Linked DNA regions of Oryctolagus cuniculus. The protein of the gene in region 2 purifies or fractionates together with the protein of the main gene of each other region. This does not show direct contact. Links are inferred from orthologs where the notes say so. Each region holds a gene or a part of one and is shown on either strand. Other genes may lie near its edges.

Region 1 (4,196 bases), on a different chromosome or scaffold from region 2:
GATAACCTCAAGTTTCCTTCCTACTCACATTGTGAGTGACCGCACCCAAGGAATACTCCAGATACGCCCTGTCCCAAACAACGGATGGGTGGCACCCCGGGAAACTCCAAGAGGGAGCACAACTGATTGGTGACACCCGGACCCCTACTGGAGACTCCCCCTTCAGAGTGGCAAGGATAAAGGAGAGCCTTTTCCACCGCTCTCGAGGATCATGGCCCGATGTGTGTGAACCTCTGGATCTCCACACATCTGGAGCTGAAGAGCCAGCTTGCTAGCACCCTTGCTAAGTGACGCAAGGCGATTACGGGACCAAACTCCAGCGGAGCCGCTGCCTGGCCGCCTCACCCGGACCCGTTATTGGCTGCTGCCAGACCAACACCAGACCTCTCAGCAGGGGACCTCTCCAACTCCTTGCCTTGCCCTCTGAACCTACTGCCCAGAGTGACAGCCATCCCCAAACTTCCTGCCTGTAACTGACTGTCCTGAGATCCATCTCTCCGAGTGGTAACGAAGACTTTGAACTCTGGACTTTGGACTTTGACTTTTGGTGACCGTGATACGACCCTTGAGGACGCAGCACTTATAATGATATTAGCCGTGTGTAATATGAAGGCATGTGCCTTGACCCTGTGATTAAGAATAATGTTATGTGCTTATATTATTATAGTTGGATTGCCTTTGAGACTGCTAGGTGTGTGTTATGATCTGTGGAGTACTGAATATAACAATGTAGATTGGTATGCAGAGTGGTCAAGCCCTAGTGTGAAATTGTGTGGGCAATAAAAACCTTTCATTGGAAAGACAATCTTGTGTCCATGTGTTCCTTCCTCCCTGTGCTCCGACACCTCGCCCTTAAGCCCTGTCGAGCTGCGTGACAGCAGGCATTCGCGACAATCACTAAAGCAATACTCTCAAGTGGCCAGCACACATTAGTAGGCAGTTGATAAAGATTTGTTCCGTCAATGAATGAATCTAACAATAAAAAGGTATTAGAAGCTACTTGCTTGAGTCTTCCTACCCTTGTCTTGTTCCTGAATGACCTCCGGTCCCACTGTTAACTTAGAAAAGGCTGGGGGGCGACTAAAGCTGATGATCAGGACTCCGAGAGGGTTTACTTTCTACCAGAAAGGCCACGTTTCAGCACGCACAAACAAGTCCTCCTTTTAGTCCTGTAACTTTAGAGCGTTTATCCGCCACACGAAGAAAACTAAAAATTGTTTTGTTTGCGTTTTTTTTTAAACTGAAAACCACCTAAAGTTACGCCAACTTCGTAATCTTTTTTCCCTGTAGAAACCGAAGGCCAGCAGCAACTTGGACGGGGAAACCTTAGGGCTGTGCCACGCATGCGCTCCGCTGTCGCCAGAGCGGCAACTGCGGCTGCGCAAATCGACGGCCCGCCCCCTCCCTGGTCACGTGTCAGGGGACCGCAGCGTGGCGGCGGCCGTGGCGGTAGCGACGGCAGGCCGTAGGGCGGTCAGAAGGTTTCCGGTTCCGGTGTAACGTTCGGGCTCCGTCTCAGGGGCTGAAGTTTGTGAGGTGAGTAGTGGCCCCGGGCCCGGGGAGGGTGTCTTCCCGTCGGAGCGGCTGGGGCCGGGGCTGAGTCCGAGGGGAGGAACAGGGTGAAGGGTCCAGCGGGAAGGATGCTGAGAGAAGCACACGGTTCGGGAGAGAACGGATTGGAATGAGATTGTTGAGAGGAAAAGGGCGGGGGCGGGACGGGGACAGGCTGGGGAGAGCAGCTCTGGGGTGAGGAGTTTGGACAGAACAAGGTGAGGGAGGAGGCCGGTGAGAGAGAGAGCGAGAGTAAAAACAGGAGGAGGGGGGCTCCTGGGAGCACTCGGGTTGCAGCAAAGGAGAGCGTAGAGTAGGGAATCCTTTAAGAAGATTGGATTCTGCTGCCTGCTCATTGAGCAGTCATTCTGCCTGCCTCCCTTTCTGCACGCCAGCTCTCCCCGCCCCCACTCCCACCAGCCGTTATTATGGAGCATTGGGTCAGTAGCAAAGGCTGCTGTTGGAAACTTTTTTTTTTTTTTTAACATCTCAGAGGGAATTAGGTTGAACTTGAATACACTTTTGTTAGTACAGCGCTTGGGCACACATTTCATCTGAAAATAAAGATTCTTCCGTTTATTGCTTTGGTTTTCAAATTGCTTACTCTTTCTGGCCTGTGATGGAGTTTTCGTGGAATGTAGGCCCTTGTTACAGCCAGGGTGATTGTATTTTGTTCTCTGCTGTTTGTATCAGCACCTTCTACATTGCTTGACACTTAGTATTTGAGTAAACAGGGGCTTATGGGAATTAATTTGCCCAAGGGCTTGTGAATGATGGGATTAGCTTGGGAGTAGGGGTCTGTACCATTTATTGACCATCTGTTAGGCACTGTGAAGAACATTAGAAATAAAATCTTTGTGCTCCTGAGGAATTTGGAGAGTTAGGGATTAGATTAAAATATAGACATGATTAATGGTGACATTTTATACTAACTTGCATTGAATACAAAGATTTGTGTGGGAGAGTCCTTTATAATACTATTTTCTGTGATGAATTAAAAAGTAGGGTACAGGTAAAAAGGGATTGAGAAGAGAACATCTAAAGTGAGGGCATTTTTTTTTCCCAAGCTGAGAGAGTACTTTCATCACGACTTCTCACAGAGATCCTGTAGAATGCAATGGAGAATTTGCACTGTGCTGTCCTGCAGTAGCTTAAGCTGCCGCTTGAGACATGTGTGTGCCATACTGGAGTGCCTGTGTTTGAGTCTCGCCCCTGCTTCCAGTCCACCTTGCTGTTGCGTATCTTGGGAGGCAGTAGATGATGGCTCAAGTACTTGGGTCTTTGAGACCCGTGTGGGCACCTTGGATAGAGCTCCTGGCCCCTGGCTTTGGTGTGGTCCAGTCCTGACTATTGTGGGCATTTGGAGAATGGACTCAAGTGCATGGTAGGGGTCCAAGTACTCAAGCCATCACCTGCAACCTACCAAAATGTGCAGTTATCAGGAAGCTGGAATGAAGAGTGGAGCCAGGACTCAAACCCAGGCATTCCAAGCTGGTCTTGTCTTTTTCTTTCTTTCTTTAGAGATTCATTTATTTATTTGAAAGGCAGACTGACAGAAAGATCTTCTGAATCCACTCGTTCACTCCCTAAATGTCACAAAAGCAGGGGCTGGGGCTGGGCCACCACTGAATCCAGGAGCCAAGAACTTCATCCAGGTCTCTCATGTGGGTGGCAAGAACTCAAGCACTTGAGCCATCATCTGCTGCTTTCCAGGCATGTTGCAAAGGGCTGTTATTGGAAGGGGAGTATTTGGGACTCAAACTGGTGCTCTGATACAGGATGCAGATGTCTCAAGCAGTGACTTAACCTGCTGTAGCACACAATACCTGCCCTGCAAGCAGGGTCTTACCTACTACAGCAAACACCTGCCCTTTAGTCTTGTTTTAAATTCATTTATTTATTTTTATTTGAAAGGCAGAAAAAAAACCATAGAGACAGAGATCGTCCATTTGCTAGTTCATTTCCAAAATGCCCACTGTAGCTGGGGCTGGGCCAGGCCAAAGCCAGGAGCCTAAAACTCAATTGAGGTCTCATGTGGATGACAGGGACCCAAATCCTTGAGCCATCATCCCCTGGGATTGGAAGTAGAGCTGGGACTTGACGAACACATGGGTGTCCCAAGCCACCACACCAAACTCCTGCCCCTACCCTAGTCTTGTTTTAATGTTATATGCCAGTCTTTATTGATTTGCTCAAAAGGAAGCTAGAAGTAATTTTTAGAGTTTGTTTCTTCCACAGGTTTCATTGATTTTTTTTTTCTAAGATTCATTTTTTTTATTTATTTGAAAGGCAGAGAGAGAGAAAAGGAGAAAGAGAGAGAAAGAGATCTTCCATCCACTGGTTCACTTCCCAAATGGCCACAATGGCTGGGGCTGGGCCAGGCTGGGCCAGGCTGAAGCCAGGAGCCAGGAGCTTCTTCTGGGTCTCCCATGTTGGTGAAGGGGCCCAAGCACTTGGGCCATCCTCTGCTACTTTCCCAGACCCATTAGCAGGGAGTGGGATTGGAAGTGCAGCAGCCAGGTCTCGAACCAGCGACTATATGGGATGCCAGTGTCACAGGTGGAGGCTTAACCACAACACCAGCCCTCATTGATCCTTTGATAACTACTGAGTTAGGGTTAAAAATCAAATGGAATGTATTTGTT
Region 2 (4,086 bases):
GCCCTCTGCAAAGCCCATTCTTCAGGCTTAACTCAACCTACTGCCAAGTATTCCTGCAGATGGCCTAAAGTTTTTGATGGGGAGCAACACTCGCCAGGCATGGTCCAGTCCCGTGTAGGACTATGCTCTCCCTCTATCTAGGGTCAACATGGAGAAGAGGTAAAAGCCAAGTTGCTTGGGATCCTGACCACTGACAATCTTTAACCAACTCTACCTGGAGAAACAAAAAACAGCTGTTGTGGCAGTTAAGCCACCTCCTGCGGTGCTGGCATTCCATTCGCTGGTTGGAGTCCCAGCTGCTCCACTTCCAATCCACCTCCCTGCTAGTGCACCTGGGAAAGCAGCTGAATATGGCTCCCGTGCTTGGGCCCCTGCTACCTACACCCAAATGAAGCTCCTGGCTTTGGCCTGACAAAGCCCCAGCCGTTGCAGCCCCTGGGGGGGGGGGGAGGGCAGAGGGACCAGCGAATGGAAGATCTTTCTCTCTGCCTTTCAAATAAATAAATAAATCTTGGGGAAAAAAAAAAGGCAGCAGTTGCAAACAAGGTCCCAAGTGAAAGACAGAAACTATAAATATTAGCCTGCTACTGACCTCATCTCCCCCCAAGGCACTCCACGTCCGACACCCACCCCTCACACTGCTTCAGCAGGGCTGAGGTTCCATCTTAACAGAGTCTCCTAAGGATCAGCAGTGGCCCTCAAGGGAAGGTGGACTAGTCTGGATTAGCCCAGACCAGGCCAGGCACACAGCACTCCGTCAATCTCTCTCAGGCAAGAGATCTTCCAGTCTTGAGAAAGGACCCCGGGGTTAAAGACCCAAGGTAGAGGCCCCAACTGCTCCTTGCGGGAGACACACCCAAGGGAGAGTACAGACCCTAGAGAATCTGCTTCTCCTATCAAGGACTGAATGCGCGGAAATCTCACGGGGGGAGGGTCAAAACCTGCCCCTGCCACATTTAAGCTCATCTTCATACGTGGCCTCTACTCCAAGAGTCGCTCAGATCCTCTTACCGTGACGAAGACAACATTGTTGGGGAAGACGGATGAATCCGCTCCATCCAAGGGCACTTGGGGTGCAGCGATGGGACCCCGGCTGGCTGTCAGCGAGGCTGGGAAGTAGCCCCTCTTCCGGACGGTGGTAGTCCCTTCCTTCCCCTCTGCCCCGGGGTCTCCCTCCGAAGTCTGGGTTGGGAGCCGCAGCTCCTCGGACAGGTAGTGTCGGATGTTCTGGCGGGCAGAGTGGATGAGCTGGGAGTCGATATCCAGGCCCACCATGCGCGAGGGGCCCCACTTGCAGGCAATGCTCAGGGTCAGATGGCCCACGTTGCAGCCCAGGTCTAGGACGTCCCGGCCGCGAAACCACTCGGGCTTCAACACACGAAGGCGGCCGTCCTCACAGGAAGGATTGCGGTACCCATAGTACTCGCAATAATTCCCATACTGGAACTTGCGCTGCTGCTTTTTAAACGCTGCCGCAGGTGGCGGGTGGTGGCGGCCTCCCCAGCTCCCGCGGCCCCTCTCCTTAGGACCCTGGCCTCCACCCCTAGCCCCGGCCTCAGACTTGCTGGAAGTCCTGCGCCGTTTGCGATGCCGGGAGGAGGAAGACGAGGGTGCAGAGGTAACTGAGGCAGCGGGAGGGGCCGGAAGGGAGCCTGAGGGGCCCTGCAGGGCGGACGGAAGGGGAGACACGACCTCATCCCTGCAGTTGATGGCTGTGTTGAGTTCATAGGGCTGGGGGGCATCCCGGTTCTGGCCCCTCGGGCGCTGCTGCTGCGCGGCGCCCTCCCCGTGGAGTGAGGGGGTGAGGGGGGCGGTGGGCGGCACGGAGTGGCTGTCACTCCCTCCACCCGCCGCCGCCTGCTGCTGCTGCTGCTGGTGGTGCTGTCCCCGGTGTCTGTGCCGTTTCCGACCAGTCTTGAGCGGCGAAGCAAGAACTACTTGAGCCTCATCAGTGCAAGTGTTGAGACTGAGCGGGTCAGTGATATCTTTGGGGATGAGGATCTCCACTGGATCTCGGCCCTTGGCGGGCAGTGGGGATGACTTAGGGGTCTCCGCATTGAGTGCGCGGCTCACTTCCTCATCCAAAAGGCTATTGAGGTTCAGCGGATCGAAGATGTTGCCCCCGAGGAGGAAGTTGGAGGGCAACACGGAGTCACAGTCCGAATTTACCCGCCGGCGCCTCTTGAACGCCGGGTGCTTGAAGCCCCCACCGCCGCCCCCGACGTGGCAGCTGTTTCTCCTCTTGCCCCCGCCGCCCCCAGGGGGCCGGTGGGGCTGGTAGCCATTACGCGGCCGAGGAGGGGCAGGGGGGCCCAGCTCCGTCCCGCCCCCTCCCCGGCGCTCCTCCCCCACATCCGGGGGAGCGGCTCGCCCGTGGGGATCCGACACGCGGGCCTCCCCGTGCGGCTGCGCCCGGGGGCCGCCCTGAGGGGTGGCGGCGGCGCCGGGGCTCCCGCTGCCGGCTGCCGAGGCAGGGGCGTCCGCGGAGCGCGCGCTCCGGCCCGGGCCGCGCTCCGGCTCGCCGCGGGGCTCCCCGGAGGCGGCCTCTCGGGGTGGTGGCACCGTGGGGCCGCCCCCTCCGCCCGACTCCTCTTTGAGCGGCGGCGGCGGGGCCGGCACCAGAAACGGCTCCTTCTCCGCCGCCATCTCGATCATTTCCTCCCCTTACTCCGTCCCACTCGAGGGTAACGAGGTGGGGATCGGGGGCTTAGCCCCCCGCCCCCGCCTGGCTAGACCCCGCTCCCTTCCCCCTCCCGTTTCCCCGGGTGCGCGCGCAGCTCTGCTCGCCTCGCTGGGTCTCGCGCCCAAGCGCCTCCTCCCCCCCACCCTGAAGCGCGCCCCACTCGCCCGCGAGACCAAAACAAGATGCCCGCGAGACCCGAACAACTCGAGGAATCAACCGCGCGTGCGCCGACCCCTTTCTCCGCCACCACTACCGCTCGGCCGCGAGCGCGCACGGCGAGCGCGCGTTCCCCTAGCCCCGGGGCCACGCATGCGCACTCCGCCACCACCCTGGCTGCGCGCGCATCGGAGTACGAACCCAACTTAACGGCTCCCCGAGTTTAAATATAGCCCCCCCTCCTCGGCCCTCCCCCAGAAGCCCACCACCCCAAACTGACACCCTACTTCCCTACTGATATCCTTTGTCTCTGCCGCGCGACCCCACCCACCGAAGGCGGGGGACGGGGAGCTGGTGTGAAAAGGTCTCCTTGACACCCGACCCTTGTTCCTGAGGAATGAGTCTCAGCGGTCTCCGCCCGGCTCTAAACCCAACAACCTCCCTACCCCGCCTCCTTCCTCCCCCTAGCGGGCAGCGCCTGCGCACACGCTTTTGGGCTTGCGCGGGTCGAGGTAGCACGTGCTGGGCCGACGCCCCACCCCCGGCCTAGGGGCGGGGCCTGTACGTCGCTCCCTCAGGGTCGGCGCACGCAGCGTGCGTCAGCGCGACTCGGGCTCGGGGGCGGGCCTCATGAATTATTCACGAGTGCGCGCGCGCGCTCCTGGGCCCCGCTTTGCCCACCTGGTTAAGAGCTGAGCGCGCTGAGGGGGTGAATTGAGGAGTCGCGGAAGGGGAGAATGGGAGGCGCCCTGACCGTCCTCAGTACAATTCGATAGGTCATGTGAACTCACCCCCCTCGAAAATAACGCTCTGCTGAACTGGAAAAAAACAAAAAAAGGCACTAAGGAGAGCCGGTGTTGTTCAACTTCCTCTTCCCCTGAAATGGCTGAGTCGTTCTTTGGCTCCTCGGCGTTTGCCCCAATCGCGATCACCTGGGCACACCACGCCTTCCTGTCCGCCTCCACACCCACGGCCCTGACACCAAGTCCTCCGCCCGCCACACGGCGGCTGCGCGCGAGACCGCGGGCCCGCGGGGCCCCTCGCAGCCGCCGTGGCCGCCGCCAGCTCGCAAGCAGGCCTTCCCGGACGCACTCCGAGGCTTCGCGCCGCCTTATATAAAAGCGGGTGTGGGCGGGGAAGACGATTCGGCCCCTCTTTGGACTTCCAGCTTCGGCCAATGAGGAATGGAGCCGTTTCCCCAGGGTGATGGGTAGCTCGGTCTCCTTGCCAACAGGGAGAAAAGAAAG
Region 3 (3,500 bases), on a different chromosome or scaffold from region 2:
GTACAAACATTGGATCTTGGGCACTGGAGTATTCTTGATGCCATTTCTGTAGATATAAGTAGGTACATAGATAGTATAATCTGTTATCAGTCGTCTTACAGAGCAGTATAGACAGTATATTGAGGGAATAAGCAGATTGTTTACCATAAACTTTAAAAAGAATGCATGAAAGCTTGTATGTGGAAAATGTAGGTTGTTGGGTATACTGAAAAATTGTTAGGGATTTCTTGGATCTTAAGATCTAAGAACTCTCAAGATCTCATGGAATGTCTTACTGCAATTAAGCTTCTAGAACTATAGGAAACATCCCTTAAACATCTTAGAACTTTATGGAAAGAGTTATCACGTATTTTTATGTTCTTTTATATGTTGGCATAAAATTCCATATGTGCTCAAAACTTATTTTACTTTATTGTTTTGGTGTTCATGTAGTTTATAGTCATGATTTTAATGATTATTTTCAAACCATGAAGTACTCAGAATATACCTAACATTTAATGTGCTGTTTCAAAATTTTATCTATTGGAAACAGTGAAGAACAATCCTAGTGGAATTTAGCTTTTAATATGATTCTATTTTTATATTTAACTCCAAATTCCTACTCAAAAATAATATAATTTGTGTCTCTTTGTACCATCAGCAGTTTCAGCCACTGAATAAGATGCTGGCTAAATTTGATTGCCATATTGATAGCATTTTTTTTTTTTACAAAAAGTAATGGTGAAAATGTTAATTTGTTATGCATGACGCTTTGATAAACAAGAAAGCTGTCAATGAGCTTCTGTTAAGTAGTTATGTATCAGCCTTTGACATAGAAAGTCTTAAGCACGTTCATAATACATTTGGTTCTAGGTGAGGGAAGACTACATTTGAAGGTGCTCTTTGGGAAGGAAAGAATATTACAGCTGAATATTTAGGTTGTTCAAACAAAAAGTATCAACAACAAAATCTTTTTTTTTAATTTATTTATTTGACAGGTAGATTTATAGACAGAAACAGAGAGCAAGGTCTTCCTTCCGTTAGTTGACTCCCCAAATGGCCACCATAACCGGCGCTGTATGGGTCTGAAGCCAGCAGACAGGTGCCTCCTCCTGGTCTCCCATGGGGGTGCAGAGGCCCAAACACTTGGGCCATCCTCCACTGCCTTCCTGGGCCACAGCAGAGAGCTGGACTGGAAGAGGAGCAACCGGGACTAGAACCCGGCGCCCATATGGGATGCTGGCGCGGCGCCTCAGGCAGAGGATTAACCAAGTGAGCCAGGGTGCTGGCCCCACAACAAAATCTTGAACTAACTCAGGAATAATTTGTGTTATAAATACGTGAGATACTTAATTAATTTTAGGTGTGGGAGTAAAGCAATAACCTTAAAGGTAGAAAGGAAGAATAGTAAAATTTTGAGATGTTTAAATGAAAGTTACTGGTAAAATATAATTTAGTGAGTTTCATCAGTGCTAGCTATGTCGAATGTGGGAATTAAAGATGAAGGAGTAGTGAATGAGTCATGGGATAAAGGATTTTTTGAATGTGTTTTGCAGTGATATCTGTGCAAAATTGTCTGCCTATTTTAAAACATGGTAGATTGTAGTGCAGCTGTAACATGCTTTCCTCTGCAGGCTCCATCTACTGTTTGTGAAGCTTCTGCCCAGCTTGCATTGTTTCTAGGAGAACCTGCCATCATACCTTTATCTATAGCCTTCCCTTAGGTCTTAAGGGTCCTGAAATTTTACTTTGGACATTGAATTTGGTGGAACAGCAATCATGGTAAGATGTTTATGTATTAAGATGGGGGGGTGGTAAGTTGTTATAAGGGCATCAAATAGTAGTTTGCAGTTGTGTGTGGGTGCCTTTGGGTTCTGAAAATTTGAATAAATATGTAGACATGTATTCTAAATGCATTGAAAAAAAACAGGGATTAGCAATGTTTCTTTTCTTGTTAATTACTGCAAATTGGTTTCAAAACCATCTTGAGGTGTTTTAGAACATGAGAAAATTCAGAAGCAGTTTTTTGGTCATTGTTATTAGGGGACTATCTTGACTCTTAGGTCAGATTATAGTAGACATAAAGACTACTTTATGTGGAAAGCTTTTTCAAAACTTGAAGGGCTTGATTAGTACACAGGAGAACAATTGGCAAAGGGAGGGAGCAAGTGAGCATAAACCAGCCAGCATCCTAACCACAGAGTTCTGTGGTTCTCAGTCTAGAGCATGTATTATCAAATGATTGATACCATTCCCAAAGGGGTTAAAATTGCTAGGATTTGTTAACAGTCATAAGCTTCTTAATGCTTGGTCATCCAGTGTCACATTGCAAAAATAGAGATACAACATGTCTGCATGTTATGGTACCTTAGGAACTTGACAAGTTTTAATTGAAGTAGGAATTTGTCCAGGGTAAAAGAAATTGTCAACAAGATAATGTGCTGTGTTCCAAGATAGGATTTAAGATTAGACAGGTAAAGGTGTAAGATTAAAATTTCAGCTCTATAAAGAAACGAGGCTCGTGGATCTCTGGGGAAAGTTTTAGTTATGATGGGAACCTTTTTTAGAGGAGTTTAGTGGTTCCAAGTTCAGATTTGGCCCAATAAATTAAATGTGGAGGAATATAGGAGAAAAAGATAAGATAAATTTATGGTAGACTAGAAAAGGGATGTAGGTTAGAAAATGGACAAGGGCAAGCTGATCACTGACTTTATCTTCTTAATTCTAGACTGTGGGCAAGAGTAGCAAGATGCTACAGCACATTGACTATAGAATGAGATGTATCCTGCAAGATGGCCGAATCTTCATTGGCACCTTTAAGGCTTTTGACAAGCATATGAATTTGATCCTCTGTGATTGTGATGAGTTCAGGAAGATAAAGTAAGGGTGGTTTGGGTTTATATAATGGGAGATGGAGTCCGAGGCAGGGGCAAACCAAGTTGAGAGCTGATGCAGGGTTTTTAAAGGATAACTGAATAGCGAAGCAATTACAGTACATGTCTGCTTAAGCTCTTGGCCTTATCTCTGAATTAGGTCAGAGCCTTGCATCCAAGTAACTGTTTTAAATGTGAAAACAATCATTGATTTATTTGTAATAAAATTGTTCGGTAAGGTCAAAACAGAGTGATATGTTATTGTTTAGCTTCTGTAACAGTCTTTTGGATTGAAGGAATATTGATTGAAATAAAGGATAGTAGGGGTGGGAGTTCATCCTAGTGGTTAAGACAAGTACCCTGAGGTAATACCTTTCCCCAGTTCCTGACTCCAGCTTCCTACTAATGTAGACCTTGGGAGTGCTAATGGATAAAATGAATGGGTCCCTGCAACCCATGTTTGAGATCTGGATTAAGGCCCCAGCTCCCAGCTATGGTCCTAGGTGGATCATTGCTGGCATTTGAGGAGTACACCAGAAGATAGAAGCTCTCTGCTCTCTCCCTCTCCTCTGCTCCTCTTAATATAGTAACTGATGTTTTAATTTTGCCCGTCTTACCTAGTTTAGCCATGGCATTTCCATCTGTATT
Region 4 (3,500 bases), on a different chromosome or scaffold from region 2:
AGCTCCCTGCCCAGGGCTGGCCCTGTGGGGCTGGCGTGCCAGGCGCGGCCGGAACAGCACGTCTTTTTCTCTCCCTCCTCCGGCAGGTGTTCAGGTACAGCACCGCTCTGGAGAAACACAAGCTGTTCATCTCGGGCCTGCCTTTCTCCTGCACGAAAGAGGAGCTGGAGGACATCTGCAAGGCTCACGGCACCGTGAAGGACCTCCGGCTGGTCACCAACCGGGCCGGCAAGCCCAAGGTCAGCGGGGGGCGCACGTTCTGGCGTGGGTTCCCCGTGATGATTCAGTGGCAAGGAATGCACACTGAGTCTCCTTCCCTGTGGAGGCAGATACTTTTTTCAAGATTAATTTGTGTATTTGGAAAGCAGAGTGACAGAGTAGGGTTGGGAGAGGAGGAGAGAATGAGAAAGATTTCCATCTACTGGTTCATTCCCCAAATGGCTGGTCAGGCCGAAGTCAGGAAGTCCATCTGGGTCTCTCATGTGGGTGGCAGGGACCCAGGTGTTTGGGCCATTGCTGCCTCCCGGGCAAGGTAGCAGGAAGCAGAGTAGCCCGAGTTGAAATTGGCACTCAGGTGTAGGGTGCCGGTGTGTTCTGAGCAGTGGTTTAACTTGCTGTTCCATGACGCCCGCCCCATGCGGAGTCAGGTGAAACTGTTTGCAGCTGTGTGTATTACAGAGGAATAGGCATTTAGAAATTAAATTCATCACAGATTCCTAAGCGCCGCAGTGTGGCCCCCTGGCTAGAGGCCTCGGGGAGGGGGTCCCTCTGCTGTGGTTACCGCTGCTCTTCCTGAGGCCCTCACTGGGCCACCTCGGGGCCTCGAGTGGACCCCTTAGCACATCCTCCCCTGCGGCCCACTCCTTTCTGCTCCACCTTTCAGCAGTTACTGTTGAGACGTGATTCTGGACCCCCTCTCACTCCCTTGCCCGCGGCCCAGCCATGCAGGTAAATGAAGAGTTAGTTGAGGAGTGTGACGGGAAGGCGGGCATGGAGGAGCAGAGACCTCGGCGCTCCCCTGGGCACCAGGGCTGCTCCCCGGTGTCTGTCCCCAGCCCACCTCCTCAGTCTGTTGGCTGGACTTATGCTGGTCTGATTGTTACTTTCATTTTTCTCTTGGGGAGCAAGCTCAAGGTGATCTGAACTTGGCTCCTCTGCGCTGCAGTCACTCCCGGCAGCGGAGGACAGGAGTAGGGAGGGAAGTCAAGCTGTGGACAGGGTGGCAGCCGTGGGGAGGGGAGCCAGTTGATGAGGTGCCTGCGTTGCAGAGTGAGGAGGAAGCTGCTCCTGGGTGTGCGGCAGCTCACCTGGCTCTGATCATGTCTCTTCCAGGGCCTGGCCTACGTGGAGTACGAAAACGAATCCCAGGCGTCGCAGGCTGTGATGAAGATGGACGGCATGACCATCAGAGAGAACGTCATCAAAGTGGCGATCAGCAACCCCCCTCAGAGGAAGGCTCCAGAGAAGCCGGAGGCCAGGAAAGCGCCGGGTGGCCCCCTGGTGCCGCGGCAGATATACGGAGCGTGAGTGTTTGTGCTGGCCAGCGCCCGGCCATGAAGGGCTAGATGAGGCAACAGTTAGGTCCCTGTTGGTAAGAGGAGTTAGGACAAGAGCACATGGGCCTGCTATCCCGGCGATGACCCCGTGGTTCTGCCGGGCAAGGTGTCCAGGGCGAGTCCAGGCCAGAAGGAGGCCCAGGCAGCGGGGCCCTGCCTCGTGTTTGCCAGGTGACACTGGTCCAAGGTCAGATGTTTCACCGGCACTGATGACGTCACCCGCCCCCTGATGCCCGAGCTTGCCAGCCTGCGGCTGCGCTCCCTAGAGAGGCCGTGTCTTCTGCCCGACAGGAGCCAGGCTGCAGGGTGGTTGGAGAGGTCTCGGAGGTGACAGCCACTTCTCACCCCAGAGTGTGACTTGCTCAGAGTCAGTCCTGGCCAGTTAATGAAGAAGGCAGAGCTTCCTGCAGTGGCTTTTAAGTAACAGCCAGGTACAGGGACAGGCCGCCTCTGGTGGGTTTTCATTTTTCATCATGAACTTTGCGTGATGTGCAGGATCCTGGCTCTTCTTCACGGTACCGTGGGGGTTGCGGGTCAGTGCTTTGAAGTGTACAGTCAGTGTTTGCTTTTGCAGGCGGGGGAAGGGCAGGACCCAGCTCTCTCTGCTGCCTCGTGCCCTGCAGCGCCCTGGTGCCGGGACTCCTCAGGCTGAGAACGGCCCTGCCCCACGTCCTGCCAACGCCGCCCCTGAGGCCACAGAGGCGCCCAAGATGTCCAATGCCGATTTCGCCAAGCTGCTTCTGAGAAAGTGAGCGGACTCTGCGGGAGACGGGAAAGGCCTTCTCGCCGGCCAGTACTCCGGGGACAGAAGGGACTGGCCCAGTGCCCACCCACGGCCACGGGCTTTCCTCTGGGTCAGACAGAAGGGGAGTGTTCCCCGTGAAGCGGCGTCAGTGCTCCCTCACATTGAGGGCGACGGCAGGAACGTGAGCTCAGGGCGTGGCATCCTGAGGCACATGGGTGTCTTCCCGAGTGAGGAGCAGCTGGGTCTGGGGCAGCGTGGAGACCCGCTCGTCCCGACGCTCCCAGCCGGCCCCAGCCCTTTTTCTAAGTCACTTCTCTCACACCTGCACGGTATACGTGCCCATCACTCTTTTAATTTTTAAAAGATGGACTGGCAAATGCTAGTAACTCACCAGAACGGCCTATTTTAGGAAGGGGTGGGAGCAGGGGAGGCCACGTAGGAGAAGTCCAGTGGGTTTTTGTTCGGGGGCTGTGTGTTTTTCTATTGTGTTTGTAAATGACACCTCAGCCTGTGGTTTCGTTTCCTAAAAGCAGTATCCAGATGTTTGTTTTATACCTGTACCGGAGGCCGTGTGCCACCTGCCGCGGGCCACTTCCTCTGCCTGCCGACTGGCTTTTCTTGTCTAAACCCTGAGTTTCAGCTCTTTGGTTTTGTTGAAACACCATGTCCTCCCCGTTTAGCTTTGTTTATTAAACAGAAGTTCTCTTAAACTCTTCTTGCTGAGTGGTGCTCAGAACCCTTCCTCAGGGCGGCCTGTAGCTATAAATAGAACTTTTCTAAGTCAAATCTCGTGGTCATTTTGATTTAAATTATTTCTGCTGTGATGGATCTTCAGTTGTAAACTTCAGTTTGATGCTTGAGTTTTTAAACTCTCTCACTTTTATCAGGGACTTACGGCTTTGGAAGCAGCCTTGCCAGTTCAGTAAGGAAGCTGACGTTCTAGAGGCACCGAGCTTCTTCTTCGACAGTATTTTTATTATTTGACAGGCAGAGCGCGAGTGCCCTCCCCTCTTCTGATTCAATCCCTACAGGCCCATAGTGGCTGGGGCTGGGTTGGGGCTGGGAATGCAGTCAGTCTCTCAGGTGGGTCTGGGCGGCCAGCTGTCTGTCTGTCGAGCCATCGCCTGCCAACTCCCAGGGTCTGCACTGGCAGGAGTAGGGAGCCGGGAGCCAGGTTCTCTGCTGTAGGACTGACTTGG
Region 5 (3,442 bases), on a different chromosome or scaffold from region 2:
TAGGGAACGTGGGGCTAGCGCAAGGCTGTGGTACGGGTGTGAAGGGGAGCGGAGACCGCGGAGCATGCGCGAAGCCGGGAAGTGGCACAGAGCCGGGAAGCCGCTGCGGGGCAAGGTGCCAAGAAGCAGCCTCGGGGCGGGCGCCGGGATGCCGCAGGGATAAGAGAAATAGAAGTATAGAAGTAAAATGAGAGAAATAGGAATGCTGGCAGATAGAAGTAAAATAGGAGAAATAGGAATGCCTGGAGATAGAGAAATAGAAAGGCCTCCCCACAACACGGCAATGAGAGAGCTTGGATTCGGTCTGCCTGATTAGTAAGACGATAAGCACCTGTGAGCGGCTGCATGTCACCGAAGACAGGCACGTTATCAACACCAATAAGTCTCCCCACAAGACGGCGATGATAGGGCTTGGATTCGGTTTGCCTGATTGGTAGGGCTTGTAAGCACCTGCAGGCAGTTCTAGCAGAGCAGAGCATGCGCTGCAGGGCACCGAACACAGGCACGCATCAGCGCCTAAAAACCTCACAACATGGCGAAGAGAGGACCCGGATTCGGTTTGCCTGATTGATAGGACTTGTAAGAACCTGTGGGCAACTCCAGCAAGCAGAGCAGAGTGTGTGCCACGGGGCACCGAAGACAGGCGCGTATCAACGCCAAAAAATAAAAAGAAAGGGGGATCTGTGGGGAGCAACTCAGACTAGACTGTTACTGGAATTAAGACTTATTCTATGCATCTGCTCTCCCACAATATGGCGCTGGGAGAGGAGTAAACAGCTTCTACTCAGCTGCCTCCAGTTCAACCAATAAACAGCAGGACCTGCTCCTGATTGGAGGAGAGCAGCATACTCGGCGTGTGGGTAGCAGAGTTGGGATTGGTGGAAGAGGACTATAAAGGAGGAGAGAGACAACATGCACCAGGAACATCTAAGAGGAACACCTGTGCAGCCCCCGAGAGAGCCGGCTGGCGGTGTGCTGCTCCCCCGCGGAAGTGGGGAAAGTGGCAGGGGGAACCGCCCTTCCACGGAGGTGGGAGGGACGGTAGCCAACCTGGGAAGAACCAGCAGCAAACCCGGGGAGGGCCGAGCAGACAAAAGAACAGCGCAGGGTCTAGTGTCGTTCCTCCACGAAGACGGGGAGCGACATAATGGTGCCGTGACTCGGATATGAAGCCTAGGCAGGGTTTAGTGTCGTTCCTCCATGAAGAGGGGGAGCGACAGTAGGCTGAAACAGTAGTAGATTATTTAGAAATAGAATTAATGTTGTGTAGGATTATTAATAATGCTGATATTTTGATACTTAAAATGGAAGAGCACTAAAGATAAATCATTGTATGAGGCAACCTCAAAGTTCATGGAAAGTGGAATTTAAAGAGAAGTATCTGGGTACAAACATGTTTGAAATGCATGTTTTTAAAAATAATACACATAGTTCGATCGGTAGCGGGAGCGGAGAGCGGACCCCAGAGAGCCCTGAGCAGCCCCACCGCCACCGCCGGCCTAGTTACCATCACACCCCGGGAGGAGCCTCAGCTGCCGCAGCCGGCCCCAGTCACCATCACCGCAACTATGAGCAGCGAGGCCGAGACCCAGCAGCCGCCCGCCGCCCCCGCCCTCAGCGCCGTGGAAACCAAGCCCGGCACCACGGGCAGCGGCGCAGGGAGCGGTGGCCTGGGCAGCCTCACATTGGCGGCGCCCGCCGGCGGGGACAAGAAGGTCATCGCAACGAAGGTTTTGGGAACAGTAAAATGGTTCAATGTAAGAAACGGATATGGTTTCATCAACAGGAATGACACCAAGGAAGATGTATTTGTACACCAGACTGCCATAAAGAAGAATAACCCCAGGAAGTACCTTCGCAGTGTAGGAGATGGAGAGACTGTGGAGTTTGATGTTGTTGAAGGAGAAAAGGGTGCGGAGGCAGCAAATGTTACAGGTCCTGGTGGAGTTCCAGTGCAAGGCAGTAAATATGCAGCAGACCGTAACCATTATAGACGCTACCCATGTCGTAGGGGTCCTCCACGCAATTACCAGCAGAATTACCAGAATAGTGAGAGTGGGGAAAAGAATGAGGGATCGGAGAGCGCTCCCGAAGGCCAGGCCCAACAACGCCGGCCCTACCGCAGGCGAAGGTTCCCACCTTACTACATGCGGAGACCCTATGGGCGTCGACCACAGTATTCCAACCCTCCTGTGCAGGGAGAAGTGATGGAAGGTGCTGACAACCAGGGTGCAGGAGAACAAGGTAGACCAGTGAGACAGAATATGTATCGGGGTTATAGACCACGATTCCGCAGAGGTCCTCCTCGCCAAAGACAGCCTAGAGAGGACGGCAATGAAGAAGACAAGGAAAACCAAGGAGATGAGACCCAGGGTCAGCAGCCACCTCAGCGTTGGTACCGCCGCAACTTCAACTACTGACGCAGACGCCCAGATAACCCTAAACCACAAGATGGCAAAGAGACAAAAGCAGCCGATCCACCAGCTGAGAATTCGTCCGCTCCCGAGGCTGAGCAGGGCGGGGCTGAGTAAATGCCGGCTTAACATCTCTACCATCATCCGGTTTAGTCATCCAACAAGAAGAAATGAATATGAAATTCCAGCAATAAGAAATGAACAAAAGATTGGAGCTGAAGACCTTAAGTGCTTGCTTTTTGCCCATTGACCAGATTACTAGAACTATCTGCATTATCTATGCAGCATGGGGTTTTTATTATTTTTACCTAAAGATGTCTCTTTTTGGTAACGACAAACGTGTTTTTTAAAAAAGCCTGGTTTTTCTCAATACACCTTTAAAGGTTTTTAAATTGTTTCATATCTGGTCAAGTTGAGATTTTTAAGAACTTCATTTTTAATTTGTAATAAAAGTTTACAACTTGATTTTTTCAAAAAAGTCAACAAACTGCAAGCACCTGCTAATAAAGGTCTTAAATAAAAAAAAAATAATACACATTATCCATGAACTTTTTGAAGATCCTTTGTACAGAAGCACAGGGTGGTAGTTGAGGGTATGAGTTTGAACCCTTCCTCCCACTCTTGGTAGTGTGATGTTTGTGTCCTTGTTTCAGATTCCCCATTTGTAAAGTTGGAATGATGATAATACATATTTCATTGTGATGTCATGTGTAAGAATTGTGAATAGTAAGTGTATCATAATTATTAGGGATTAAAGAGTAACTTTTCCTCTAAGTTATGCTTGCTAATATGTCAGTTGGGCTATATTTTTCTGCTGCAGTTATTAAAAGGACTTGTGTAGAGCTTTTGTAGGATTTTGAAGAAGGAATAAAGATCCCTCGCAGAGACCTTGAACCTAGAATCAAGCTCACAGTGACCCGGTTTTTGTAGAGTTCTGAGGTCCACTAGTGAGTCAGGATCAACCTAGATTTATGAAATTGCAGCCATGGAGTGTGACACTACTCCCTAAGAACATTTATCTCTGTGTT
Region 6 (4,142 bases), on a different chromosome or scaffold from region 2:
GCCTGACTGGCCCGGGTGGGCTTCCCCGGGGAGGGGGGCTTGGCGTGTTTCTGTACAGCCTCCACCTGTGCTCCCTGCAGCAGTTTTCAGTCTCCAACCGTTCAAGCAGGTGGTCAGGGGGAGGACGTGGGGACGGCCACGGCCGAAGCCTAGGCGGTTACTGCGGGGTGAGGAGACCCCGGGGTCGGGGGGAAGGCCCTACTAAGGGACCGTGGCAGGCGTGCGAGCGCCCAGCCTCCGCCGCCGCCCCTCTGTCGGACGCACTCCCTCCCCCGCGACCTGGAAGTACAAGGGAGTAGGCGGGGACAACTGCTACAAGAAATCCGCGGGGCTGGCCCGCACGCACGCACGCCCGCTTTATTTGTCCTCATTTAACAAGCTTTGGTTGGTAATTGTGCTGCGAGCCGCGAGGTCCGAGAGCCCCAGCACTCAGCCCGCACGGAGGGGGTCCGTAGCAGCGCACTCCACGCAAGCCCACCGACCTAGGCCGCCGACACCCCGGCCTTTGCAGACGCCCGAGGCCGGAAGTCCCTCCCCCAGCTTCCGCTTTCCAGCTGGGAGCACGGAAAGGAAAGGGTCAGAGCTCCCGGCCGTTTGGTGTCTAAAGGGTCGCGCGCAATCCGCCAAAGCGTCCAATCAGAAGCGGCTCCGGAAAAGTAATCCCGCAGAAACGACTCCGCCTCCCCAGCAGTTCGACGCGGAAAAAAAAAAATCCCCCCAACAGCGTTCGCCAATTGGAAAATTCCGCACGGTCACAGGTGACCAATCATAACGGCAGGAGCCGATTCAAGCAGGCCAATGAGAGGGAGCGGAAGGCGAAGCTAGGCCTCCTGTTGCTGGGTAGAAATCGAGGCGTTGAGCTACTAGGAGGGCCGAGGGCTACGGTTATTTCTCGGTCCTGGAGGGTCCTCTCGCGGACTCGCTAGAGAAACAATTGCGAGTAGGTTTTCCTGTTGCAACAGTTTCTCTCCTGGCTTAGCTGCTGCAGGCCCCGCAGGGGAACGGGGTGGTGAGCAAGCCCTAAAGGGCCGCAGCAATAGTGAGACGCGAAGCTGGGTGGTGAGAGGGCGGGCGGGCGGGCGGCTGCGCAGGACCCCCGCTGGAAGTACGGAAAGGCAGGCGCGCACACGCTTCCGTGCTACGAGGGCACTTGAGCCGCCGCCAGCCCTGCCCGTCTCCGGCTCCGCTGCGGCTGCGCGGTAAAACCTCCGGCGGCGATTGGCCCAGCGGTAAGAGGGGGCGGGCGGAAGGGGCGGGACTCCGTCGTCCTCGGCGCGCGCGCCCGCCGGCGGTAGGGGACTAGGGGCTGGGAGGCAGGCCGCTCCCCGTTGCGTTGTTTTGGGCTCGTGGGAGGCGAGGCGGGGGAGGGGAGGAGGAAGGCGACACCAACTACGCAGCGGGGACCGCGCGCGGCCTGCGCTGTCTGCGTGCGTGCGTGCGCTCGCGCGGGCTCAGGGCTGGCGCGTGAGGCGGAGGCGGGCGGCGGCGGCGGCGCCTGCGCGGTCGGGCTCGGTCGACGGTTCGCAGGGGAGGAGGCGGCGGGAGGCGGAGGAGGCGGCGGCGGCGATGGAGGTGAAGCGGCTGAAAGTGACCGAGCTGCGGTCGGAGCTGCAGCGGCGGGGCCTGGACTCGCGCGGCCTCAAGGTGGATCTGGCGCAGCGGCTGCAGGAGGCGCTGGACGCCGAGATGCTCGAGGACGAGGCCGGCGGCGGCGGGGCCGGGCCCGGCGGGGCCTGCAAGGCGGAGCCTCGGCCTGTGGCCGCGTCGGGCGGCGGCCCGGGCGGGGACGAGGAGGAGGACGAGGAGGAGGAGGAGGAGGAGGACGAGGACGAGGAGGCGCTGCTTGAGGACGAGGACGAGGAGCCACCCCCTGCTCAGGCCGCGGGCCAGGCCGCGCAGCCGCCGCCAGAGCCTCCGGAGGCGGCAGCCATGGAGGCCGAGGCCGGGGCCGGGGCTGAGCCCGAGCCCGCGGCCCAGCCCGAGCCCGAGGCCCAGCCCGAAGCCGAGGCCGAGGCCGAGCCCGATGCTCCCGAAAAGCCCGCGGAGGCCACGGCCGGGTCAGGTGGGGTAAACGGTGGCGAAGAGCCGGGCGCCGGCAAAGGGGAGGAAGACGAGCCCGAGGAGCGGAGCGGAGACGAGACGCCGGGATCCGAGGCGCCGGGTGACAAGGCCGCAGAAGAACAGGGTGAGGAGCTGGCGGCGGAGCCGGGCTCCAGGCTGCCGGGGGCGCCCCGATCCGGCACCCGTGCTGCGCCGCGGGGTTTGATCCCTTGTTTCCACTTGCCTGGTCGCGCAAGCTGCCGTTCGGTATTTGATGGGACTCCCCGGGGCAGGTGGCTTTCATCCTCTGCTGCCTTTCTGGGAAGCGCGGCCGCCTCTGGTGGCCGTGTTCTTGGCGGGAGGGAGGTTGTCCGCCCGGCTTGGTTCCTGGGAGGTGGTGGATGGAAGTGAGTGGTTTCGCATGCTGACTGCGCGCGTGCTACCTGTGGAGCACCCTCCCGCCTGCTAGTCATCGCCTCCCCTTTGTTTTGTGTTTCGTTTGAAGCTGAGAGGGTGCTGAGGAGTTGGGAATTGCACAGCCACACCGAAAGTTAGAGCTTTAGGTCATTGGGCTACCTGACGGCTTTTTCGGCATAAAAACATGAAGCAATAAACTGAACCCGTCAGAGTCCGCTCTGTCAAAACCCATTACTAAAGCTTGTAGGTTTCCGGAGAACTGGAAATCTAGCCTTGGTCCTGCTCCAGAAGTAAGAGGGCAGCCTCTGGTGCGAGTGTTGGGTTTAATAGTTAACTAGTGAAGAAAGTTTTAATCTGGCGCATTTAAAACAAGTTAACTTGGTTTGGGCTTGTACTGCTCCTGTATTCTCAGGATTACATTTTAATCTTTCCACTAAGTCCGTGGATGGGCATATTTGTAGATTTGCTGTATACTCGTACGAGCCTACATGTTGGGCTCCTGACTTCCTGAATTGAAAGGATTGAGATCCTGGTGGATGCATTGGGTAACCTTGTGGAAGAAAATGTGTGGAACTGCCCCAGGGAGCTGGTGACCTTTCTCTTTTCTCTGGAAGTGATTGGATGGTTGGAGTTGATCATAACAATACCTGTCAGAGTAGGGAGGAAATCTCCAGCTACTTCCCAGTCTTACTATAAATTGGATTGCTTTCATTCTTTTTATAGTACAAGTTTTGGGACACTATTAGTTAAAGTGACATAATTGGAAGTGTTTTACAATAGTCATAGGCAACTTGCGTATTTTTTTGTCCTATGTCTTAGAACAAAAATCCCATTATATAACCTTTGCTTTAATGTATAATTCAAATAAAAGATATAAAAAACGTTGGGGATAAAGGACTGCTTTAAAGAAGTTATTATTTACAACCTTCTTAGTGTTGCAAAAATATAAAAACCTAAAGAAAAACTCCAAGATTTTTTCTTGTGAACAGTTACTAAATATATGACAACACCTTTCTGCCCCAAATTATGTGCAGTAAAGATGCAGTGTTATTTATGGGTCTCTTGTGACTTAACTGGTTTGTTGCGGTTTTGTAAATCAGTTGTGTATCATGCACTTGAGTCCCTTGGCTGTATAAGTAAAGCATGGATGGCTGTACTCTTTTACATTTCTTTGGCACATAATGTTTGTGTATATTTATGGGGTATGGTAAGATAACTTGATATACATATCCAGTGTTGATGCATATATACAGGCTGTGCATTTTAGTGCAGGATAAACTTAGGAAAAAATTGTGGCTTCTTTACCTTGAAGCTGTAATGGCCTGCCTTAAATCTTTGTACAATTTCAATCTGACAAAGATTGAAATTAAGTTAACCTATGAAGGTTTTTTTTTTTTTTAATGCCACAACATTCCTGCAAGCTTGACCTGATTTAATCAGGTAAATTTAGAATGCAAAAACTGTCCAATTTTTATCTGCTGCTGACTGTAATTAGCCCGTTCTATCCTCTTACCCCCTCCCATCCCACCCCAATAAAATCCTAGCCAGTGACAGGAAGGTGATCTTGGGAAGTAAAATGTGCTGTGGATGCAGTGGGGCTAATGTGGCTATTTTGATTAGAAAGAAACTCAGGTTTCCCTTTAGTTTCTGTTGGTTCTGAGCTTGTTCTACACTCCAGTATAAAA
Region 7 (3,298 bases), on a different chromosome or scaffold from region 2:
TGCTGGTCACTGCCCAGATAGCTGCAACAGCCAGTTCTGAGCAAGGCTGAAACCAGGAGGCAGGAGCTTCTTCCGGGTCTCCTATGTGGGTGCAGGGGCCCAAGCACTTGGACCATCTTCCGCTGCCTTCCCAGGCACATGAGCAGGGAGCTGGACTAGAAGCAGAGCAGCTGGGACTTGAACTGGTACCCATAAGGGATGCCAGTGCCATAGGTGGCAGCTTTACCCACTATGCCACATGCTGGCCCCAAATAAACCTTTTTTTTTTTTTTTTAAAGATTTATTTATTTATTTGAAAGTCAGAGTTACACAGAGAGAAGGAGAGGCAGAGAGAGAGAGAGGTCTTCCATCCACTGGCTCACTCTCCAATTGGCTGCAATAGCCGGAGCTGTGCTGATCTGAAGCCAGGAGCCCGAGCTTCCTCCAGGTCTCCCAAGTGGGTGCAGGGGCCCAAGGACTTGGGCCATTCTCCACTGCCTTCCCAGGCAATAGCAGAGAGCTGGATCAGAAGTGGAGCAACCGAGTCCTGAACCGGCGCCCATATGGGATGTCGAAGCTGCAGGCCAGGGCATTAACCCGCTGCGCCACAGTGCTGGCCCCCAAATAAACCTTTTTTAAAAAAAAGTTTTGTGAGGGGGTGGCGCAGTGGGTTAAAGCCCCAGCCTGCAGCGCCAGCATCACATATAGGTGCCATTTTGAGTCCCAGCTGTCCACTTCCAACCCATTCCTTGCAAATGTACCTGTAGAAGCAGCAGAGGATGGCCCAAGCCCTTGGGCCCCTGCACCCATGTGGGAGACCCAGAAGAAACTACTGGCTCCTGGCTTCAGATAAGCCCTGCTCTGGTCATTGTGGCCATTTAGGTAATGAACCAGTGGATGGGAGACTTCTCTCTCTCTCACTGTAACTCTGTCTTTCAAATAAAATAAATCTTTTAAAAAAAAAGTTTTGTGAGCAAGTACAAATCCATCTTAGCACAGTGTTTGTAATACACGTGGTCTTACCCAAGAGCTGTTTCCTTTAAAAAGTACCATTTAGGAATTTTTACTTACATAAATTTTAAATACAGTTGGTGTGATTTGGTTTCTAAAATGGAACTTGAGTCCCTCTAGTGGGTGTTGTTCACCTTCGAAGTTTGAAATAGAAAGGAAAATGTGAATCTTGATTTTCATGGAAGCAGCTTTCAGATCCGTTCTTCTCGCCAGTGCTGGCCTTTCCTCTCCAGCTGGAGGCGTAGTTTGCGTGGCCCTGGGCCTCCCTGCTGTGATTCACTGGCGGCTTTATGTCACACGCACAGGCCTTTGTGTCACACGGACAGGCCTTTGTGGCTTTGAGGCTCCATGATCGGTAGCAGAAGCCATGGACCCTTTCCTGGACAAGTCCACTGTCATGCACAGGATTTTTTTTTTTTAATTAATTAATTATTTATTTTTTATTTAGTAAATATAAATTTCCAAAGTACAGTTTATGGATTACAATGGCTTCCCCCCCAATAATTTCCCTCCCACTCGTAATCCTCCCATCTCCTGCTCCCTCTCCCATTCCATTCACATCAAGATTCATTTTCAATTATCTTTATATACAGAAGATCCATTTAGTATATATTAAGTAAAGATTTCATCAGTTTGCACCCACACAGAAACACAAAGTGTAAAATACTGTTTCAGTACTAGTTATAGCATTACTTCACATTGGACAACACAATAAGGACAGATCCCACATGAGAAGTAAGTACACAGTGACTCCTGTTGTTGACTTAACAATTTGACACTCTTGTTTATGGCGTCAGTAATCTCCCTAGGCTCTAGTCATGAGTTTCCAAGGCTATGGAAGCCTTTTGAGTTCGCTGACTTCGATCTTATTCCAACAGGGTCATAGTCAAAGTGGAAGTTCTCTCCTCCCTTCAGAGAAAAGTACCTCCTTCTTTGATAGCCCTGTTTTCTTTCTACTGGGATCTCACTCGCAGAGAACTTCATTTAGGTCTTCTTTTTTTTTTGCCAGAGTGTCTTGGCTTTCCATGCCTAAAATACTCTCATGGGCTCTTCAGCCAGATCTGAATGCCTTAAGGGCTGATTCTGAGGCCAGAGATGCACAGGATTTAATTATCTGGGACTATTTCTTCTCCTCATTGCCTTCCCTTGTCTTTCAGTCCCCACCGAGTAAGCGGAGGAAGCTAGAGAAGCCGCGGAAACCCATTACATTTGTGGTGCTGGAGTCTGTGATGAAGGAACTGTCCCTGAAAGCCTCGTCCCTCGGGGCGGAGACGGTGGAAGGCATAGTGGTGGTGACGACCTGGATTGAAAAAATCCTCACCGACCTCAAGGTACCTGGTGAAGCCACCAGCGAAGGCCTCGTGTTGGTCTCCCTTTTTCCTTTTCTGTCTGCTTTGTTCTCAGGGAGTCTGGGGAGAAGAGAAAAGTGAATTCCTGTGAAATGTGTTTTTCCTCAATAGGTGCAGCATAAGCGAGTTCCCTGTGGGAAGGAGGAGGTTAGCCTGTTCCTAACAGCCATAGAAAATTCCTGGATCCATTTAAGGAGGAAGAAAAGAGAGCGCGTGAGACAACTGAGAGAAGTTCCTCGAGCTCCTGAAGATGTCATCCAGGCCTTGGAAGAGAAGAAGTCCACCCCCAGGGAGTCTGGGGGCGGCAGCCAGGACGGGGTGCAGGGCCCTGGGGAGAGTGCCCCAGGTGGGCCTGCTCTGCACGAACGCCAGCCTGCTGCTGCTGGGGGCCATTGCGCAAGCCAGGAGTCACTTTCCCAGGAAGGAAACCCAGAACCCATGGAGGAAGAGCGGAGTGAGGAGAAAGGAGGGCCGGAGGCTGTGGAGAGCTGCAGGGGCTCTGGCCACGGGGCCCAGGACCCAGAGGCTCCTGAGCAGCTGAGCAGCCCTGGGGCTGAGACAGGCAGGCCTCCGCCAGGAGCGGCTGCACAGTACCTGTTTAAGTGTCTCATCAACGTTAAGAAGGAAGTGGGCGATGCCTTAGTTGAAATGCATTGGGTTGAGGGCCAGAACAGGGATTTGATGAACCAGCTGTGCACCTACCTGCGGAACCAGATTCTCAGGCTTGTTGCCAGTTAACTGCAGACTGCGGGTCCAAGTAGAGAGGTGTCTGTGAAGCCTGCTCTGAGAGCTCTGTGGGCTGGCGAGAGGAAACCCAGCTCCGGCTCCCTTAGTAGCCTCATGCGGCATCACCTAAAGAGAAGAAGCCAATTAATCCATTCCCTGGCCCCCACCCCTTTTTTTCTTAAGTTCCAGAGAGCTGTATTGTGGAAGTTCAGGAGGGAGAACTTGCTTATCAG

The links.
Region 1: the proteins of MEPCE (region 2) and PRPF3 purify together in Homo sapiens (affinity purification with mass spectrometry; 4 studies listed by BioGRID and IntAct, counting the BioPlex papers as one, with this or other methods). This does not show direct contact. The link is inferred for Oryctolagus cuniculus from reciprocal best matches to the Homo sapiens genes MEPCE and PRPF3.
Region 3: the proteins of MEPCE (region 2) and SNRPN purify together in Homo sapiens (affinity purification with mass spectrometry; 3 studies listed by BioGRID and IntAct, counting the BioPlex papers as one, with this or other methods). This does not show direct contact. The link is inferred for Oryctolagus cuniculus from reciprocal best matches to the Homo sapiens genes MEPCE and SNRPN.
Region 4: the proteins of MEPCE (region 2) and SART3 purify together in Homo sapiens (affinity purification with mass spectrometry; 6 studies listed by BioGRID and IntAct, counting the BioPlex papers as one, with this or other methods). This does not show direct contact. The link is inferred for Oryctolagus cuniculus from reciprocal best matches to the Homo sapiens genes MEPCE and SART3.
Region 5: the proteins of MEPCE (region 2) and Y-box-binding protein 1 purify together in Homo sapiens (affinity purification with mass spectrometry; 3 studies listed by BioGRID and IntAct, with this or other methods). This does not show direct contact. The link is inferred for Oryctolagus cuniculus from reciprocal best matches to the Homo sapiens genes MEPCE and YBX1.
Region 6: the proteins of MEPCE (region 2) and HNRNPUL2 purify together in Homo sapiens (affinity purification with mass spectrometry; 3 studies listed by BioGRID and IntAct, with this or other methods). This does not show direct contact. The link is inferred for Oryctolagus cuniculus from reciprocal best matches to the Homo sapiens genes MEPCE and HNRNPUL2.
Region 7: the proteins of MEPCE (region 2) and METTL16 purify together in Homo sapiens (affinity purification with mass spectrometry; 3 studies listed by BioGRID). This does not show direct contact. The link is inferred for Oryctolagus cuniculus from reciprocal best matches to the Homo sapiens genes MEPCE and METTL16.

What each region holds. Positions count from the first base shown.
Region 1 is NC_091438.1:47,654,645-47,658,840, reverse strand, and holds the start of PRPF3 (U4/U6 small nuclear ribonucleoprotein Prp3), read left to right. Parts: upstream 1-1,396; 5' UTR 1,397-1,536; intron 1,537-3,072; exon of another isoform or gene 3,073-3,264; intron 3,265-4,196. UniProt on the Homo sapiens protein: Plays a role in pre-mRNA splicing as component of the U4/U6-U5 tri-snRNP complex that is involved in spliceosome assembly, and as component of the precatalytic spliceosome (spliceosome B complex).
Region 2 is NC_091450.1:42,641,154-42,645,239, reverse strand, and holds the start of MEPCE (7SK snRNA methylphosphate capping enzyme), read right to left. Parts: upstream 2,801-4,086; 5' UTR 2,656-2,800; coding exon 1,012-2,655; intron 1-1,011. UniProt on the Homo sapiens protein: S-adenosyl-L-methionine-dependent methyltransferase that adds a methylphosphate cap at the 5'-end of 7SK snRNA (7SK RNA), leading to stabilize it.
Region 3 is NC_091443.1:13,815,089-13,818,588, forward strand, and holds part of SNRPN (small nuclear ribonucleoprotein-associated protein N), read left to right. Parts: intron 1-1,613; 5' UTR 1,614-1,758; coding exon 1,759-1,761; intron 1,762-2,707; coding exon 2,708-2,859; intron 2,860-3,500.
Region 4 is NC_091452.1:17,726,441-17,729,940, reverse strand, and holds the end of SART3 (squamous cell carcinoma antigen recognized by T-cells 3), read left to right. Parts: intron 1-86; coding exon 87-239; intron 240-1,332; coding exon 1,333-1,523; intron 1,524-2,130; coding exon 2,131-2,308; 3' UTR 2,309-3,011; downstream 3,012-3,500. UniProt on the Homo sapiens protein: U6 snRNP-binding protein that functions as a recycling factor of the splicing machinery. Promotes the initial reassembly of U4 and U6 snRNPs following their ejection from the spliceosome during its maturation.
Region 5 is NC_091434.1:59,357,003-59,360,444, reverse strand, and holds Y-box-binding protein 1, read left to right. Parts: upstream 1-1,391; 5' UTR 1,392-1,406; coding exon 1,407-2,420; 3' UTR 2,421-2,942; downstream 2,943-3,442. UniProt on the Homo sapiens protein: DNA- and RNA-binding protein involved in various processes, such as translational repression, RNA stabilization, mRNA splicing, DNA repair and transcription regulation.
Region 6 is NC_091432.1:8,851,251-8,855,392, forward strand, and holds the start of HNRNPUL2 (heterogeneous nuclear ribonucleoprotein U-like protein 2), read left to right. Parts: upstream 1-1,342; 5' UTR 1,343-1,566; coding exon 1,567-2,185; intron 2,186-4,142.
Region 7 is NC_091448.1:47,902,149-47,905,446, reverse strand, and holds part of METTL16 (RNA N6-adenosine-methyltransferase METTL16), read left to right. Parts: intron 1-2,147; coding exon 2,148-2,321; intron 2,322-2,450; coding exon 2,451-3,077; 3' UTR 3,078-3,298. UniProt on the Homo sapiens protein: RNA N6-methyltransferase that methylates adenosine residues at the N(6) position of a subset of RNAs and is involved in S-adenosyl-L-methionine homeostasis by regulating expression of MAT2A transcripts.